Linked DNA regions of Alligator mississippiensis. The protein of the gene in region 1 purifies or fractionates together with the protein of each later gene. This does not show direct contact. Links are inferred from orthologs where the notes say so. Each region holds a gene or a part of one and is shown in the gene's direction. Other genes may lie near its edges. The genes, in order: CDC25C and SUFU.

Region 1 (7,944 bases):
GCATCGCAGCTCCTCTGTGGAAGGCGACGGGAGCCTGAAGCAAGGCAAGGGCAAGGGCAAGGGCAAGGACAGGAGCAGTCCTGGAACTGATGGCCGCTCAACCGCTCCGATTGCAAGTTAGCTGCCCCAGCAGAGTGACATTACACAGAGCAACTTGTTGACTCCAGCACGTGCTGCTGTTGCTCCTCTCTCTGGAGCCCGCGGCTCCCACGCCCCCGTCTGTCCTGCTCCGGCCACAGGGACGGGGCAGCAGACCTATGGCCAACTGCGATCCCAGCTGGGCTGGGTTCATGCTGCTGCTTAAGAAAATGCGAACAGCAGCAAAGGTGGCGACTGCAGTTACACCCCAAAGGCAACAACCGAAGGGGTGACTGGGAGCAGCGAGGGAGCAGAGGCTGCCCGACCTGTAAGAGACCCTTGCCAGGGTGCAAGAGCATCTCAGCGTGCTTAATTTGTTTGGGAGAAAAACCAGATCCGGATCGTTACAAAAAGGCCACCCCCGTAGGGAGGATGCAGGGGCTCCCCCTCCCCGAAGAAACTCCGTCCCTATCCCAGGGGGGTCACAAAGCGCTCCTCCAAGGAGACGCCTCTGAGCCCCACCAGGCACGGCCATCGCCCATCGCCCAGCAGCCACCGCCACAGCGCAGACAACAGCCCCGGCCCGGCCCCGGCCCCGGCCCCGGCCCGAGCTCGCGCCGCGGGACGCCCAGGGACCCCGCAGCGCCCGGCGCCGGCCGGACCCGCCTGGTTTGCGGCAAGCTTCCCCCGCAGCTCCGGGCGCGACCCGCCACCCCGCACGGCCCTGCCGGCTCCCGCCGCCCGCCCCGGAGCGCCAGCACGATGTCGGCCCCATGTCCCGCGGGGCCTGAGCCTGCTCGGCGCGCTCGGGAAACCTCTTACCGGGCGGATGCCGAAGGACGCGCGTGTCGGCTCCTCCAGCGCCCGCGTCTGCAGCTGCTCCGCCACCAGCGGCACCATGGCTCCCGCGAGCCAGGCCCGCCGCGCCGCGCCGCGCCGCGCCGCTCAGCAGGGCCGGGCCGGGGCAGCGCCCGCCGCGCCGCTCCTGGGCCCGCCCGGCCGGGGCTCCGCGCGCGCCATCCCCGCCGCCGCCCCTGCGACACCACGCCGGGGTCCCTGCCCCGCGCCGCCCGACAGCGCCCCGCCGAGCCTCCGGCCACCAGCCCCGGGCAAGCGGGGCCCCGGCGCCCGGCACCCGGGCCCGCTCCCACCTCGTCCAGCGCCCGGCTCGGGCGCGCGGGCGCCGCCGGCTCGGGCTCCCCGCACCCGGGCCCGGCCGAGCCCGCAGCGCCCGCGCGGCCCGGGCACCCTGGGAAGTGTAGTCCGCGCCGCCGCCATCGCCATCGCCGCGCCCGCCCCGGCCCCGGGGCCCGCAGCACCGCCGCCCTCACCCCGGCCCGGCCCCCGCCCGCCCGCCCGCCCGCCCGCGGCAGGGCCCCGCCGCCTCCCTGCGCCCGAGCGGGCGGCCCGGCGCTCACCCCGGCCGGCGGCCCGCGTCCCCTCGGCCCGGGGGCAAGGCAAGGGCCCGCCCCCCCGGGCCAGGAGCGCGCTCCCGCCGCTCCCCGGGGCCAGGAGCCCGGGCAGCAGCTGCGTCAGGGCGCAGGCTCCGGCTCCGGCGGCCCCCACCGAGCCGGCTGCGGAAGACGGGGTGCGCCGCACGCCCCGGACACGCGGCCCCAGCCACAAGCAGCGTCTCCCCGGACGTGCAGCCTGCCGGGATCCTCCTCGGGGGGCAGGCAAGGAGACGAGGGGCCCAGAGCCGCCAGCTGAGCGAGGGGGAACCAGCGTGAGCCCGACGGGAACAGGAAAGCAATCCAAGAGAGAGGCACAAGGCCAGGCCCCGAGCGAGGCCCGCTGATCCCTTCCACCACTCTTCCCCGCCCCCAGCGCCCCCTGCTCAGCCCCACCATCCCTCCGCAGAAAGCCTCCTGCCCCGTGGACCCCCGCACCCCACCAGCATCCCCCGCCTACCTCTCCTAGTGCTGCTCTGGACAGGCTCTGGGGAGGCCAAGCCAAGGCTCCCAGCCAGTGATCAGAGAGGCAACACAAAGGGTCTGTCTCCATCTCCAGCGCTGCAGAGAGCTGCCAGGCCCTGTCTTGCAAGGAAACAGCAGTTCCAGTCACTGACCCCAAAGAGAGAGGCAGCAGCAGCAAGTGCTGGGGCACACCAGGGCTCAGAGCTGCGGGGAGGCACAGCAGTCTCTCTCCCTTGAGCCCCAGCCACGGTGGGCAGGATTGCTCCCCAGAACACACCGATGCACAGCCACGTGGGACACTGCACCCAGTCTTTGCTCTCTAATCAGACCCAGCAACCGAAGGCCCGTTCCCCAGCTCTGCCCCCCTCCCCAGCAGCACCGGAGATGCCCGGGTAACTCCACACAACGCAGGGAACCAGTTTCCACGGCACATGGTGCACGTCAAGACGTGCGAACGCGTCCCCAACACTGTGCACGACACGATTTCTTTGCATAGCCCCTCTCCTTCCAGAGGTGCAAAGCACCCGCTGCCCAGTATCATAAGGCGCCAAGTCTCAGTGGGCCCCTGACAACTGGAGGCCTGGGCACGTTAACGCCCCATTCACTGACCGTCTCGAGCCATCTGCACGGGCAGGTGTAAGGGCAGCCGCACTCAGCGAGCGTTTTGAGGCGGCACTAAGGAGACCACCATCCAGCCCAGCGTGGGCACAAGCTGCCCCGTCACCCTGCCGCACGAGCACTCCCCCTGGAAGGCTCTGGAGGAGCCAAACACCTGGCAGACACTTCCCTCTCAAGTCCTTGGTGGCACTGGAGAGGATGCTGGCTGGGCGGGTCCCACGCGTGCAAGGCCCGTCTCCACAGCCGGATCTGCATGTCCCAGGAGCGGCGGCTGTACTTCTTGTACTTGTTTGGGGTCTGAGGGTGGACCTCTGCCTGCCGAGTGGACCTACAAATACAGCATCGCATTCGTCATGAGGAAGGGCCAGATCCTCCCACCTCGGGACAAGACCCCTTATCCTAGCGGGAACAGGACAAGAACGGCCCCGCCGTCCCCTGGGGCAGGAAGAGCAACTTGCCCGTCGGCAGGGTCAGCGAGGAGGAAGAGGCGCTCCAGAGCCAGGGCTCCCAGACTGTCTTATTGCGTGCCCCCTCCCAGATCTGCCAGCTGCCCCTTTCACGCCTATTATTATTATTATAATGGAAATTCAAGTTGCCATTACCCAGTTTCTCTCAGGTACCCCTCACATGTCTTGCACACCCCAGGGGTGCAGCTTGGGAGCCCCTGCTCTGGAGCAAGCTCTGACGTCTCCCCTGTGCCGAGGGCCTGTGGCCAGAGCCAGCAGGCCCGCACGGGGAGAGGAGGTGAAAGACAAAGAGCCCTCACTTGGGAACCTGCTGCAGAAAGCGCTGGTAGCCCAGGGTGTTCTTCCCATAATCAATTTGCTTCTGCCTACGCTGCAGGGTGCTCTCATCCGTCTCGATGTCAGATCTGGGGAACAGGAACCCAGTCAGCACCGGAGACCCGAGACCCGAGCCTGGACAAGCCACGTCCCTGGCAGAGACCACCACACCTGCATCCCGAGCCGGCTCCTTGCGCTGGGCTGGGCCACGTGCCGACCCCGACGCTGACCATGCGAACTCGGAAAGAAACGGGCTCGGAGGACACGGGCCTGCTCCGGGGGAGAAGAGCTTGCTCAGCGGCACCCCGCAGCGTCCAGGGGGCTTGTGTCACCGACGGAGGCGCCGCGCCGCGTTCCCCCAAGTCAACCGCTGGGTCCGGGACGCGGAACCGGAGCTGCGCCACGGGGCCCCCGGGGGACGGAGCCCCGGCTCCGCGGGAGCTCAGGCCCGAAGCACGGAGGTCTGCCAGGGGCGCGCGGGATCCCTCCACGCGCACCAGGTCCTTTCAAGGGCGCCGCGCAACGGCACCGCTGCTGGGTGCGGACAGGGCTCGGCGCACACCCGGAGCTGGCGTCACAGCCCGGGCGACCTGCGGAGGAACCGCTCCCTCCCTTCCCTTCCTGCGGGCATCGGAGCGGACGCTTCGCAGCTACGGGCGCGGCGAGCCGCTGCTCCGCGCACGGGGCGCTCCGGGCTGTGCGGGGCGCACGGACGCGCAGCCGCACCCGTCACACCGCGCAACTGCCTCACCCAGCCCGCCGCTCCCGCCCCGCCCCAGTCTCTGCGGGGGACCGGCGCCCCCCACAGCCGCCTGCCGGCACCCGAGCCCGCCGCCGCTCCCCCGCCCGCCCCGGCGCCGCCTTTCCGCGGGCGGGCATGCCGCGCCCCCCGGGGGCCGCAAGGGTCGGCGCGGAGACCCCCGCCAGGCGGGCAGCGCCCGGGTCTCCCTGCGCCGAGCCCCGCTGCCTTCCCGGACGCGGCGGGCGGGAGCCTGTGCCACAGCCGCGGCCGGGACCGGGACCGAGACCCCGGGCTGGGCACCGGCAGAGCCGCGGGGAGCGGGGCGGGGCGGCCGTACCTGCGCCCCGCCGCGGGCCGGGAGGAGGCGACGGGCAGCATGTACGACACCGCCCGACCCGGCCAGGCCCGGCCCGCGCCGCCTCTTGGCGCCTGCGCCACGCCCACGTGCGGCGTCGACAAGCTCCACGTGCGCCCGCGTGCGGCCATTGGCCGCCCGAAGCCCCGCCCGCCGGCGGAAGCCCCCAATGGCAATAGCCCTGCCCGCCCGGGCTCCAATAGCGGGCAGCGCAGCGAGCCAATCGGAGAGCGGCTCTGGGGTTTGTTTTCCCCCGCCCCCAGCAGCGCGCTGATTGGTGAGGGGCGGAGAGCAGCGCGCTGATTGGCCGGGGGGCGGGGCGGCAGGGCCGGGGGGCGGGTTCTATTTACATTCAAGTGGGCGGCGCGGGGTCTCTCCGCGGGCCATGTCGGGGCGGCGCTCGCCGGGGCGGGGCGGGTCGCGCCTGGGGCTGCGCGCCGGCTGCCGCATGGTGCTGGGGCTGCTGCGGGACGCCGACCTCTCGCTGCCCTTCTCGCCGGACCTCGCCCGGGGCCTCCGCGCCTCGCCCGGGTGAGCGCCGCTTCGCCGGCCTCCGCGCGGGCCGCCGCCTCCCGTGGGGCCCGGCCCGGCCCGGCCCTGAGCCGCTCGCGCGTTCTCCCCGCAGGGCCACGCCGCGCTGCTGCCTGGACCTGTCCGACCTCAGCGCCGGCGAGGAGATGACCGTCTTCCGCTTCGCGCCGTCCCCGGGCGGGCCCGAGCCTGGTAGGCGCCGCCGCCCCCCGGCCCCTGCCCCGCCGCCCGGCGCTCGTGGCGGCGCGGCGGACCGCGAGGATGCGCGCTGGGCCGCGGCGGGGGCCGGGGCTGCCGGGCGTTCCCAGCTGCCCGGGCCCGCCCTGGTGCCGGCCGCCTTCGCCTCGCTGTGGCTCGTGCCCGGCGCGGCCGCTCGCTGCGGGTGTCGCCTACTTGTGTCTCTTCAGTTGCAGGCCGGACGGACGCGCCGGGACGCGGGCAGGGGCCGTAAGTGTCCTGGCTGCTCGCTGCTGCGGGGCCGGCGGTCTCTGCGCGGCAGCCTGCGCCGTGCTGCGAGCGGGGCCTGTCCCTCCCGAGGCTCCTCGTCCGCTGCGAGCGGTGGCGGGCGTGTCTTGTGCCCGGGTCAGGAGTGCTGGGTCGGGCCGGGCGGACGTCCTGTCCCGTCCCGCGAGCCGTCCTTGCCTCTGGCCGGGCAGCGGCTAGGGCTCTGCTGGCTCGGACCGTGTCGCGCCCAGCCTGTTTCACGACGCTGGGAGTCTGGGCGGTGGCGGCACTGCGCGGCAGTTTGAAGCACAGCTATTCTTTGCGTGTTCGCAGTGGGTCGATTGGCCCAGGGCTCTCCCTTTGCGCAGAGCGCGCTGAAGTGGATCTGTCTCTGCCTCGGCTGTCCTGTCTTACAAACCTTCCAGCTGCGCTGATTTTAGCGTTGGCCTGTGGCTTTTCAGCTGCCGAGTCCTTGTCCTCCTACTTGAATCTCATTTCAACACAACCCCTGCCCATCTAAGCGGTTAGCCGAGGAACAGAGATGGTAGTATTGTTGGTTCGCTGCTGTGCCCGCCTGCCCATTCAGGGGACGGTCCAGCCCGTTCGGCACGTGTGGCTGGGATGCTGTCAGAAACGGCTGTTGACTCGCTTGTCAGCGTGTCCGTGCCGTTCGGGTGTTGTCCCCATCTGGACAGCTCCTGCTGAGCGCGGACAATGCACGAGTTCCTAAAGAGCCTAGAGCGGCTGCTCGTCCCGCAGCGGTTGGGTGTCTGCAGTACCTGCCTCTTCCAGGTCTAGCACCTGCTGGACCTGGACAGGTGATGTTTGCACAGAGGCTGATGCGCGGGTGCCAGCTGTGTTGGATTTGGTGTTATTTCTTACTCGGGTTGACACCAGAATCTGGAAACCAGAGAAACGAGTGAGTAGTTTCTGAGCTGTCCTGCCAGTCTCCAGCCAGCTGGCTGTGTCCCGTTCAGCACAAACGGGGAAAGGGTGTAAGATGACAGAAAGGATCCCGCGTTCAAGTCGCAGCACTGCCGCTGACACGTGGCGTGGCCTCCAAAACTGTCCTCCCTGCAAAATGGCATGATCCTGCTGGCGGGGGCGGGGTGTCACAGGTGTCCTGAATTGTCGCTGAGCGCTGTCACGGGGCTGGGAAGGGCTCTGTGGATGCGAGGGAGGATGCAGGTAGGGATGGGAGCCCTGTCCCAGGGCAGTGCAAGCTGGCCAGGAAGAGGGGCCAGGACACTGACTGGCTATCTTTCTTCCTGCAGAGAGTCGCAGAGGCAGTGTCTGAGGTCTCTCCCGGTGAGTACCTTTTCGTCTTCAAAGAAAGGCGATTTGCTGTCTGGGAGATGTGGCGAGTCGGTGCGCTGGGATGCTGGCTGCAGCTCTGAGTTTATGCTTACAGTTGTCTCCAGTGAGCGTTCCCTCCTGTCCGTTCCAGCCCCAGGTACGGTGCAGCACACCAGGCGCCATGTACTGTGAGAGCAGTGAGATGGCCAGTCCCCTGATGAGCATGGCAAAGGTGAGTCCCTGCTGGACCAGCGAAGGGCAGGCTGGAGCAGTCTCAGTACTGGAGTTCCCTACGACACGACAGTGTTTTGCAAGTGCTGCTTTTGGGAGGGTTGCAGTCTTCCAGGAACTCTAGATTCCCTTCCTGCTCTCACCCACCCACCATGCTGGTGACCCTCCTCACAGCCAGTGCCCAGTGGCTGCTTAATGCCAGGGTTGGAGCTGAACTTGCCTTGGGCTCTTGACCTGAGGGGTGGGGGCTTGAAGGTAGTTCTCAGCACCTCCTAGAGCCAGAGAGCTGAGAGCTCCTGACCCTTCTCGTTTCAGGAGGGGGGCTGGTTTAAGCATCCAGGATGGCATGTGTCCAAGCCCTTGCTGTTCCATAAGGAAGTGATGGATCCTCTGACTTGCCTTACTGCTCCGCTGGTGAGTTAACAGCTCAGCTCCTCAGAATCCAGTGACTCCCTCCCACGGAGTGGGTAGCAGTACAGCGACAGAGCTCGGGCTGGGTGAGGGTTCCTCCTACGAGAGGGGAAGGAGAAGAAGCTGGGCTAGATCAGATCGTCCCTCTCTGACCATGAGTACCGTCTGTTCCTCAAATGAAGCCCTGACTCCAGTACAGAATCAGGAACTGGAGTGGGAACAAGCATTCCTCTTCTGACCCTGGGGCAGATCATGCACTCTGCTCCAGGCAAGCTCTAGAAAATACTCCCTGCAGTGAGGCTACGCAGGCACTGTAGGGAGTCTGCCTCTACTCTCCGGAGTTTCTCTGGATTGGTGGTTGGTGCTGGAAAACACGACAGAGAAGGTATGGGAGCTGGGTACCACTGCAGCCCCAAACTCTTCTCCTCTTCCCTGCTAGGATGTAAGAAGCCTGGAGTCTGAGATGACCGAGCTAGGCAGCCCGATTGCCGAGGTGGAATCCTACGCACACAGGACAGCAGATCACTCGGCCAGCTTTGC
Region 2 (8,125 bases), on another chromosome or scaffold:
TAAAGCGCTTTGTAATGGAGAAAAGGCACCGAGGAGGAGTGCAGAGCAGCAGTCCATCCTCTGCACTGCTTCCACGTTCTCCCTCGCCTAGCTCATGGACAGCGCTGAAACTGCAACGTCACGCCAGGCTCCGAGCTGGGAGCCATGCCAGGAAAGGACGCTGGTCCCACAACGTAACCGGAGCAAAGATTTCTTTCATTTGCAGGGGATAAAAATTCCCCACGTAACGTGCCCAGGATAGAGCAGAATCGGACCTGGATAGCTGCTAATGTGTCCCTTCATCCTTTGCCCCTCACCGTGGCATCGCACTGCCTGCACCACGCTGACTGACGACACGTCCTCTGGGGCCTTTCACCCTTGAACTAGCAATGGTTTTACCCCGGTGGGGAAAAGCTTCGCTATCCTCTTTTTACTGAGGACAGTTCAAAGCACAGAGAGGACAAGCAACTTGCTCAAACTCATCACAGTGCATAAAAGAGTGAGGAAAAAAGGAACCAATCTGTTAAATCTGGATTTGCTTTCAAAGACTGTGGTGTGTAGCACTGGGAACCCTGCTCTGATTACTGGACGGCATCGCTGCCCTGATCTCCGAGAGAAACACCAAGCGGAGGAGCAAACGCCAACGCTGCATCTCCGGCAGGACCCGCAGCAGGTTTTCTGAGACGTGCAAAACAAGGAGCGAGGCCGGGAGGTATGTGAGAAACGCGGTCTGCCTTGAGGACGGCCGGGCGAGCCATCCCACGTGCTGCTTGCCACTCCTGCAACCCTTTGCCCAAGGCGAGGCAGAAAGATGAGAGCACGGGCACGGCCCAATCTGGGACAGCAAGATGCGCTCGGGGCGTTGGCACGGGAGAGCCGAAGGGAGGAGACGGAGAGCGTGACTCACTGGGCTCAACCTGCTGCCCTTCCACCCCCTCCTGCTCTGGCCCGTCCCTGAATAGCGCCGTTTGTTGGGAGGCCTCGGCATCAGGGCTCGCCCAGGCCCCGGGGGACGGGCCCCCGGAGGCCACCGCCGCCCTGCCCACATGATGCTGACACGGCACCAAGGAGGGGATCAAAGAGAAGCCTCCTGTGCCGGGACCAGGCCCTGTCAGCGGGGATGGAGCAGTGCATTCTGGGAGCAGTCAATCCCAGCAGCTGCTCCTCCCACTCACTTGGAGATAGAGCTCCTCGTGGGAGCAGCCACCCCAGAGCACAACACAGAGCAGTGCATGCTGGGAGCAGCCACCCCAGTGAGAGCACAACACAGAGCAGTGCATGCTGGGAGCAGCCACCCCAGTGAGAGCACAACAGAGCAGTGCATGCTGGGAGCAGCCACCCCAGTGAGAGCACAACAGAGCAGTGCATGCTGGGAGCAGCCACCCCAGTGAGAGCACAGAGCAGTGCATGCTGGGAGGGGCCCCCAGGCCAGCACAACAGAGCAGTGCATGCTGGGAGCAGCCACCCCAGAGCACAACACAGAGCGGTGCATGCTGGGAGCAGCCACCCCAGTGAGAGCACAACAGAGCAGTGCATGCTGGGAGCAGCCACCCCAGAGCAAAACACAGAGCAGCGCATGCTGGGAGTGTCTCCCCCCCCCAGGACAGCACAACAGAGAAATGCATGCTGGGAGCTGCCACCCCGGAGCACAACACAGAGCAGTGCATGCTGGGAGTGTCTCCCCCCCCCCCAGGACAGCACAACAGAGAAGTGCATGCTGGGAGCTGCCACCCCACAACACAGAGCAGTGCATGCTGGGAGGGCACAAGGAGCAGTGAATGCTGGGAGGGGCCACCCCAGTGAAAGCACAACAGAGCACTGCATGCTGGGAGTGTCCCCCCCAAGACCAGACAACAGAGCAGTGCATGCTGGGAGGGGCCACCTCAAGGACAGCACAAGGAGCAGTGCATGAGGGGCCACACCAGAGAACACGGAGCAATGCATGCTGGGAGGGCTCAAGCAGCAGTGCATGCTGGGAGGGGCCCCACGGCCCAGCGCCCATTGTCCCAAGGCAGCCAACGGGCGGGGCAGCTCACCCCGAAGCCTGGACAATGACTGACAGCCCTCACGACCAATTAGCGCAGGGGCTCTCCCCGGGGGGGCGGGACTCCCCGCCTCAAACAGGGGAGAAGGGCGCTGAGGGCGACTGACAGACGGGACAGCCAATCGGAGGCCATCAAAACACACCCCACCCCGAAGCCGAGGACCCGTTTCGCCAGCATGTTCAGTTGCGCCCTCAGGCGGAGATTGGCAAGCGCGGGAGCCAATCAGGAAGCAGAACGAGCGGCCCGTGGGCGCCAAGCTCGGTTGACGCGTCTCTGTGGCCGGCGCCGGGGGGGGGGCGGGGCGGGGACCGCGATGACAAAGGGCGGCGATGCCCGCGCTCCCCCCCCGCCCCGCCCCGCAGGGGCCGGCGGGCCCCGCACTCACGTTGTCGATCACGACGGGCTGGTTCGCGATCACGTCGTAGGACTCCATGGCCAGCACCCGCCGCACACACCAGCCGGGGAGCCACAGCCCGGGCCGCGGGGCGCATGCGCGAGGGACGCGGCAGCGCGCGAAGCAGCCTGGGAGCTGTCTTCTTGAGGTAGGCGCGGGTTATGCTGGGAAATGTAGTCTTAGGGATCGCAGAGCATGCTGGGAGCCGTCTTCATGAGGCGGAGGGCGTGGAGCATGCTGGGAAATGTAGTCGGGGCGCGGGTCATGCTGGGAGCTGTCTTCGGGTAGGGAGGCGGGGCGTGCTGGGTAATGTAGTTCTTGAGGGAATTGCGGGGCATGCTGGGAGCTCTTCATAGGCAGAGTGCGCGGGGCATGCTGGGAAATGTCGTTCTCTGTGCATGTGGAGCTGTGAGCATGCCGGGAGTTGTAGTCCGGGGGGCGGTGCATCTTGGGACAGGTAGTCCCTTGAAGGAGGCTCTTGGCCACAGCAGGCCTCGGGCGGCTTCAGAAGAGGGTGGGTGACAATGCTCTGCCAGGCTGCGAACTAGGCGCCTCGTGCCCAGGAGCAGCGAGGGGCAGAAGAAAGGTGGCCCAGCCCGATGGGCACGACGTCGAGCCTCTTAAAAGGCAGAGCAGGTCATTGACAGCCGCGCAACCAAGAGTCAGCAAGGGAGCCGCAAGGACTATAAGGAGCCCCGAGGCCAATGGCATCCCTCGGCGCTGCCTGACTAGAAACGCCGCTGCCGGGGCCAGGCCTTTGGTTTTAAACTTGATGGGTCCTCAGGTGACTGAAGAGCCCGATTCCAGACACGCGTGGTCTTTGGGTTGGTCTCTTCCTTCCACCGCCGCCGCCGCCGCCGCACCGTCGTCCTGCCTCAACATCGAGTCGTTGGGCCTCGAAGTGGCGCGCGCCTTGGCACCCTGGAAAGGACCTCACGAGCCCCCCGGGGCGCTGCTCACCCCGATTGCGACTCACTGGAATGGAGAGATGATAAAATACGCTGTCTCCTTCCCTGCTCCAACCACACGCTGTTTGATGACTGCTGCCCAGCAGCGTTTAGGCTGAACGAAGCACCCTGGGCTTTTTTACAACCCAACAACACGTGCGCGGAGTATTTTAGCACCCGTTCATTCAGACATTGAGCCTCACCTTTAAATTGAATCCTGGGCAGATACTCTGAATATTGACCTCAGCTAATTTTATTGATTTTTATATCCTTCTCACTCGTTACGATCCATCGTTAGCGGGCCGAACAGCACGGGAGGTGTCATGTTAGCCCAGATAAATCACCAGAGAGACGTATGTGTGCCTTAAACCAACCCAAGTATTTGCTAAGGGATTCTGTTTCTAATATTTACCTTCTCCGGTTACCGCAGTCGACTTTTCTCAGGTGGGGAAACCGTTATTGGTATCACCGTACTAGGACAGGTGAAACATTGCGTATTGTTTGAGCCAGTACTTCATTCAAGTATAAATTGCTCGCCTCTTAGCAACTCTTATTCGTTTGTTTGCCCACCTTTCAGTCTCTGGCTGCAGGTGAACTCCCCGAAACCTATTTTGTGTACATTGACGTTTGGGCAAATATTCTTCACCTGCGCACATGGAAAACCCAGGGAGCAGGAACACCTTGCAGCTCAATTTGCTGCTTTAGCTATAATCCCACGTCCTGATCTTGGCAAGATTTATGGAGGCATTCGCAGCGTGCAAACTTTTACAGGTGCACGAGACTTTGCAGGATTAGAGACGTGGCTACAATTTCTAGCACGGTCTGGCCCTTCCCTGGAAGAAAGAAAGACAGAAAGAAAGGAGAGACGCAGTGCGGTTGTTGTCGCAATTGAGCCGTACACCCCGCTGTACAGAGCAACGACAGGAAATTCCCCAAAACTGGAAAACGTCGCATTTCTGCCGTCCTGCCTGCCAAAGTCTTACAGGCGTAGCAGTGCCCATGGACAACGGCTGGTTACGTGGACCCTTATCCTACACAAAACGCACGTGCGCGATTCGTTCTAGGAGCCGGAGTCAAAGGGGCCATTTAGGGGGCTAAATCCCGGCGGCTGTAAGAGGTCGAGGCTGTCACGCGCAGCATGAACCTCGCGCGTGTGCATGTGCACGTGCACGAGGCTGAGCCCCCCCTAGGCTCCAGGTTCATGGGTGGATAGGGCCGGGTGCAGCTGCCGGCGGCGGCCGCCAGGGGGCGCGCGAGCCTCGGGCGGCGGCAGGCGGCGGGGGCGGGGCCGGCGGGGGGAGGCCCCGCCCCATCCCCTCCAGGCGATTGGTGGAGCCGCGCGCTCGTCAGCAGGCCCCGCCCCACCCCGGCCGGAGCCGCCGCCGCCACCGGGCGCAGGTCGGGCCGGGCCGGGCCATGGAGGGCGCGCGGCCGCCGGCCGCCTTCCCCGCGCTCTTCCCGCCGGGCCTGCACGGCATCTACGGAGAGTGCCGCCGCCTCTACCCCGAGCAGCCCAACCCGCTGCAGGTCACCGCCATCCTCAAGTACTGGTGAGCGCGCGGGCCCGGGCCAGGGGGGCACGGGGCGGGGCATCCCGCGTGACGTCACGGGGGGGCGGGGCCCCGCGGGGGTGACGTCACGGCGAGGGGTCCTCATGGGGAGCTATACCCCAGTGCAGCTCTCACACTGGTGGAGCGCGCCCGGGACGTGACATCAGCTCGGCCGAGGAGATCTCGGCACGAGGGCTCGGGTGGAAAGACGGCGTGTCCGAACGGGTCTCGGGAAGACCACCGGGACCCCTAATCCGTATTTATTAGGGCGCGCCGATTCTGCGTTTCAAAGGGAGTCTCGCTTCCACCTGGCCGTGCAGGGCAGCGTGGCTTTCTGTGCGCGGTGCGGCGCGGCGCGGCGTGACCCGCCGACGTGGACGTTTGCAAAGGGGAAGATTTAGCTCCGGAGACTGGCTCTGTGCAACAGGTGCATCTCTCCCCGCTTGCACGTCTCTCGGGGCAGATCGGGAGCCTTTGGACACCTCCGCGCTGTCCGTGTGAGAGGGCGGCTGTGTTTTCTCCAGCATTTAGGTGTTTATTAAGAAGAGTGGCTAAATACACCGGAAGAGGGGTAAAGTTGCAAGGGGTAGAGCCCTATGGATGCACTCCTTCCTTTACGGTGCATTACGTGATACTATACGGTCCCTACGGGCACGTCTGCTGTCTCTGCAGAGCCCCAGAGCATCGTTAGCAGCTCCTGTTGCCCGCTCCCTCCTGCTTTGCTCTTGTCAGATCCCAAAAACAAGGCCTGGCAGCTGCCTTTAAGTGACCTCGAGCTCGTGGCGCTTAGCAAGGCCAAAGCGGGGGCTCGGGGCCCTTCGGAGGCAGCGTTGCCTCGTGGGCGGGTTTGGCACGCGAGTGGGCAAGGTGAAGCTGGTGGTGGTGCTCCCGTATGAACAGCTCGTGGCCGTGACGTGTGAAGAGATGAGGCCGAGCTGTCTTTCCATCAGCCCCCGGGCAGTCTCCGTGTTTTGCTGCATCTCGTGCTTTCAAGGCACTATAATGCAACGACCCGTTCTCTTGTGTTTCCAATGATATGCTAATAAATGAATCGTATTACTTCCGCTAATCGTTTTATGGCCCCTGGCTGGGCAGGTGTCTTTCTCCCTGGTATCAGACTTCCTAGGGTTTCCGTCAGTCATCAGAGAATTGCCTTTTGCAAATGCAAATCCAACTTTTTCCTCTGGCCGGTCTCATCAGCCCTTTGACGAGGGGCTGTTACATGCTGGTGCAGTTCTGGCTTTTCCAAAGGAAATCCCAAACGTTTCCATTCTTCTGAACCCGTTGTTCAAAGCGAGCGGGGGTGCTATATCTACATAAGTTGCAGCGCAGAGATGCGCGCAGCTACAAGATATGTAATTCAGTTCACTTACTTGCAGCTAGCGTGCGGACAATTGAAAACAGCAATTTAAAGGTTTGTGGGACAAGCGGATGACTCGGTGGACTGCGTAGAACAGAGAATTAACCAAGATGACTTAAGACAACTCCCTGCCTTGAAAAGGTTACGGTCAAAGGGCTGGCCTCCACTTCAGAGTTGTGGGTTGAGTTGATTTGCATTCAAATGCCTTGCGTCAAGCAAAATGTAGTAATGCTGATCTGGCCTCTCACTGCACATTATCAAACCCACTTTGGAAGCAGCCCATTCAGATGAAGGATGGGTTTTTTTTAACCTATTGCAAAGTACTTTTTGGTGCATCTGCATTTAACACTATTTTTGTGCATCTATGAGGATCCCATGCTGCTTTGGCTACCTGGGACACGTCTGCGTGCCCTCTGGGTTCATCTTGATCAGCTGTTCCCCTCCGCTGAAATGGCTCTGTGCACCCAGGTGCTGTTTTTTAGCACTTGCAGTTCATGGGAAGTTCACGTACTCTTCATTCCTTGTATTGAGATCCTGACCTGTTGTTGATCTCTCGGGAGAAGAGCCTTATTTTGCTCATGTGTTGAGCAAATGCTGAGCCAAGGGGCACAACAGAGTTTTCAGTGTCTCCGTAAGGAAGGATCTCTGGCTGGTCTGTAGGCATGCAATGAGCTGTGTGGCTGCACGGCCCGCTCTTACTACAAGGAGCTTGTCATTATCTTCCACCACCGAACTAGAGCTTGTTGTGAACCCCCGATGGATTCTCCACTGACGGTAGCGACTCTTCTGCCTAATGGGTGTTGGGTCTCGTGGTCACAGAAGTCCTGAGCAGCCTCCGATATAAAGCAGAGATGGAGGACAAACCAGGACCACAGATGGAGGTTGGTCCCTGTAAGTATTGAATTTTGTGTCATTGCTGTCATACTGTCTAACTCTTCTCCACCTTGGGGTCTTCTAACACGCGTCCCCAGTGCTCGTGCAAAGGATTTGGCTGGCGACTTTGCAAAATTCATAAAGATATTAAAACACAAACACCGCATAATTTAGGTTCCCACCCACATCCCCCATCATGTCTTTGTTTAACTTTCCTCCTCTGCTTCATTAGCTAAGCCCACCCCTCCACTCCAAAATGATAGCAGTCAGGAAAAATTACACTTTTTGAAGTGGTCTCCTTCGTTGTAGATGACTTTTTTTGTTTTCTTTCTTTTAGTGTAGCATCAGCAGCTTGAGGAAGAAGAGCAGAAGGACTCACGTGATGGAGAGACAGATTGCTTTGCTGAAGTGTGGTGTCTTCAAAGTGCGCCCAGTGCTGTTACTACTCAATAAAACGCTTTTAAAGCGAGCAGTTCCTGTTGATGTATTATTGTATACATTATAAAAAAATGAATTGGGGGCTTGGCCCCTCCTTTCAGTTGTGAAGTTGTACTATCTTTATATCCAATAGGGCTCAATACCTTAATAGAAAGAAGCATATCAATTGGGAAATCATAAACTGAATGTAAAGAGCATTAAAGTAGGCACAACATATGCTAATTTGCATGTGTCTGTATGGTGAAATGCTTGCGTTAATACTTCGACAAGAAAATGTGCCGTACAATTTGTAGCATATACTCTTTCCACAGGTGGTCCCCAGACTTAAAATAGAAGCACAACAAATCCCTCTCTGTGCCTTGCAGTAGTTGCTTTATCTAGAGGCCTCCTCTCTGACTATTCAAAATGTTCACTTCAATGTGTCTACCTTCTGTTTCTCTCCTTGTGCAAGGCTCTTCCCCCTTGCTCTCTCAAATGTGGTGCAAAAATCCATTCTAGGAAGGAGTTTCTTACTGGGATTCTCCAAGGGGCAATGTGAG

Evidence for each region.
Region 2: the proteins of CDC25C (region 1) and SUFU purify together in Homo sapiens (affinity purification with mass spectrometry; 4 studies listed by BioGRID and IntAct, counting the BioPlex papers as one, with this or other methods). This does not show direct contact. The link is inferred for Alligator mississippiensis from reciprocal best matches to the Homo sapiens genes CDC25C and SUFU.

The regions. Positions count from the first base shown.
Region 1 is NC_081832.1:79,615,423-79,623,366, reverse strand, and holds the start of CDC25C (M-phase inducer phosphatase 3), read left to right. Parts: upstream 1-4,861; 5' UTR 4,862-4,876; coding exon 4,877-5,022; intron 5,023-5,116; coding exon 5,117-5,214; intron 5,215-5,429; coding exon 5,430-5,469; intron 5,470-5,489; exon of another isoform or gene 5,490-6,287; coding exon of another isoform or gene 6,288-6,385; intron 6,386-6,740; coding exon 6,741-6,774; intron 6,775-6,877; coding exon 6,878-6,994; intron 6,995-7,308; coding exon 7,309-7,407; intron 7,408-7,843; coding exon 7,844-7,944. UniProt on the Homo sapiens protein: Functions as a dosage-dependent inducer in mitotic control. Tyrosine protein phosphatase required for progression of the cell cycle. When phosphorylated, highly effective in activating G2 cells into prophase.
Region 2 is NC_081829.1:99,404,090-99,412,214, reverse strand, and holds the start of SUFU (suppressor of fused homolog), read left to right. Parts: upstream 1-4,729; 5' UTR 4,730-4,781; coding exon 4,782-4,915; intron 4,916-8,125. Other genes in the region: ACTR1A (alpha-centractin), read right to left, coding at 2,410-2,457. UniProt on the Homo sapiens protein: Negative regulator in the hedgehog/smoothened signaling pathway. Down-regulates GLI1-mediated transactivation of target genes. Down-regulates GLI2-mediated transactivation of target genes. Part of a corepressor complex that acts on DNA-bound GLI1.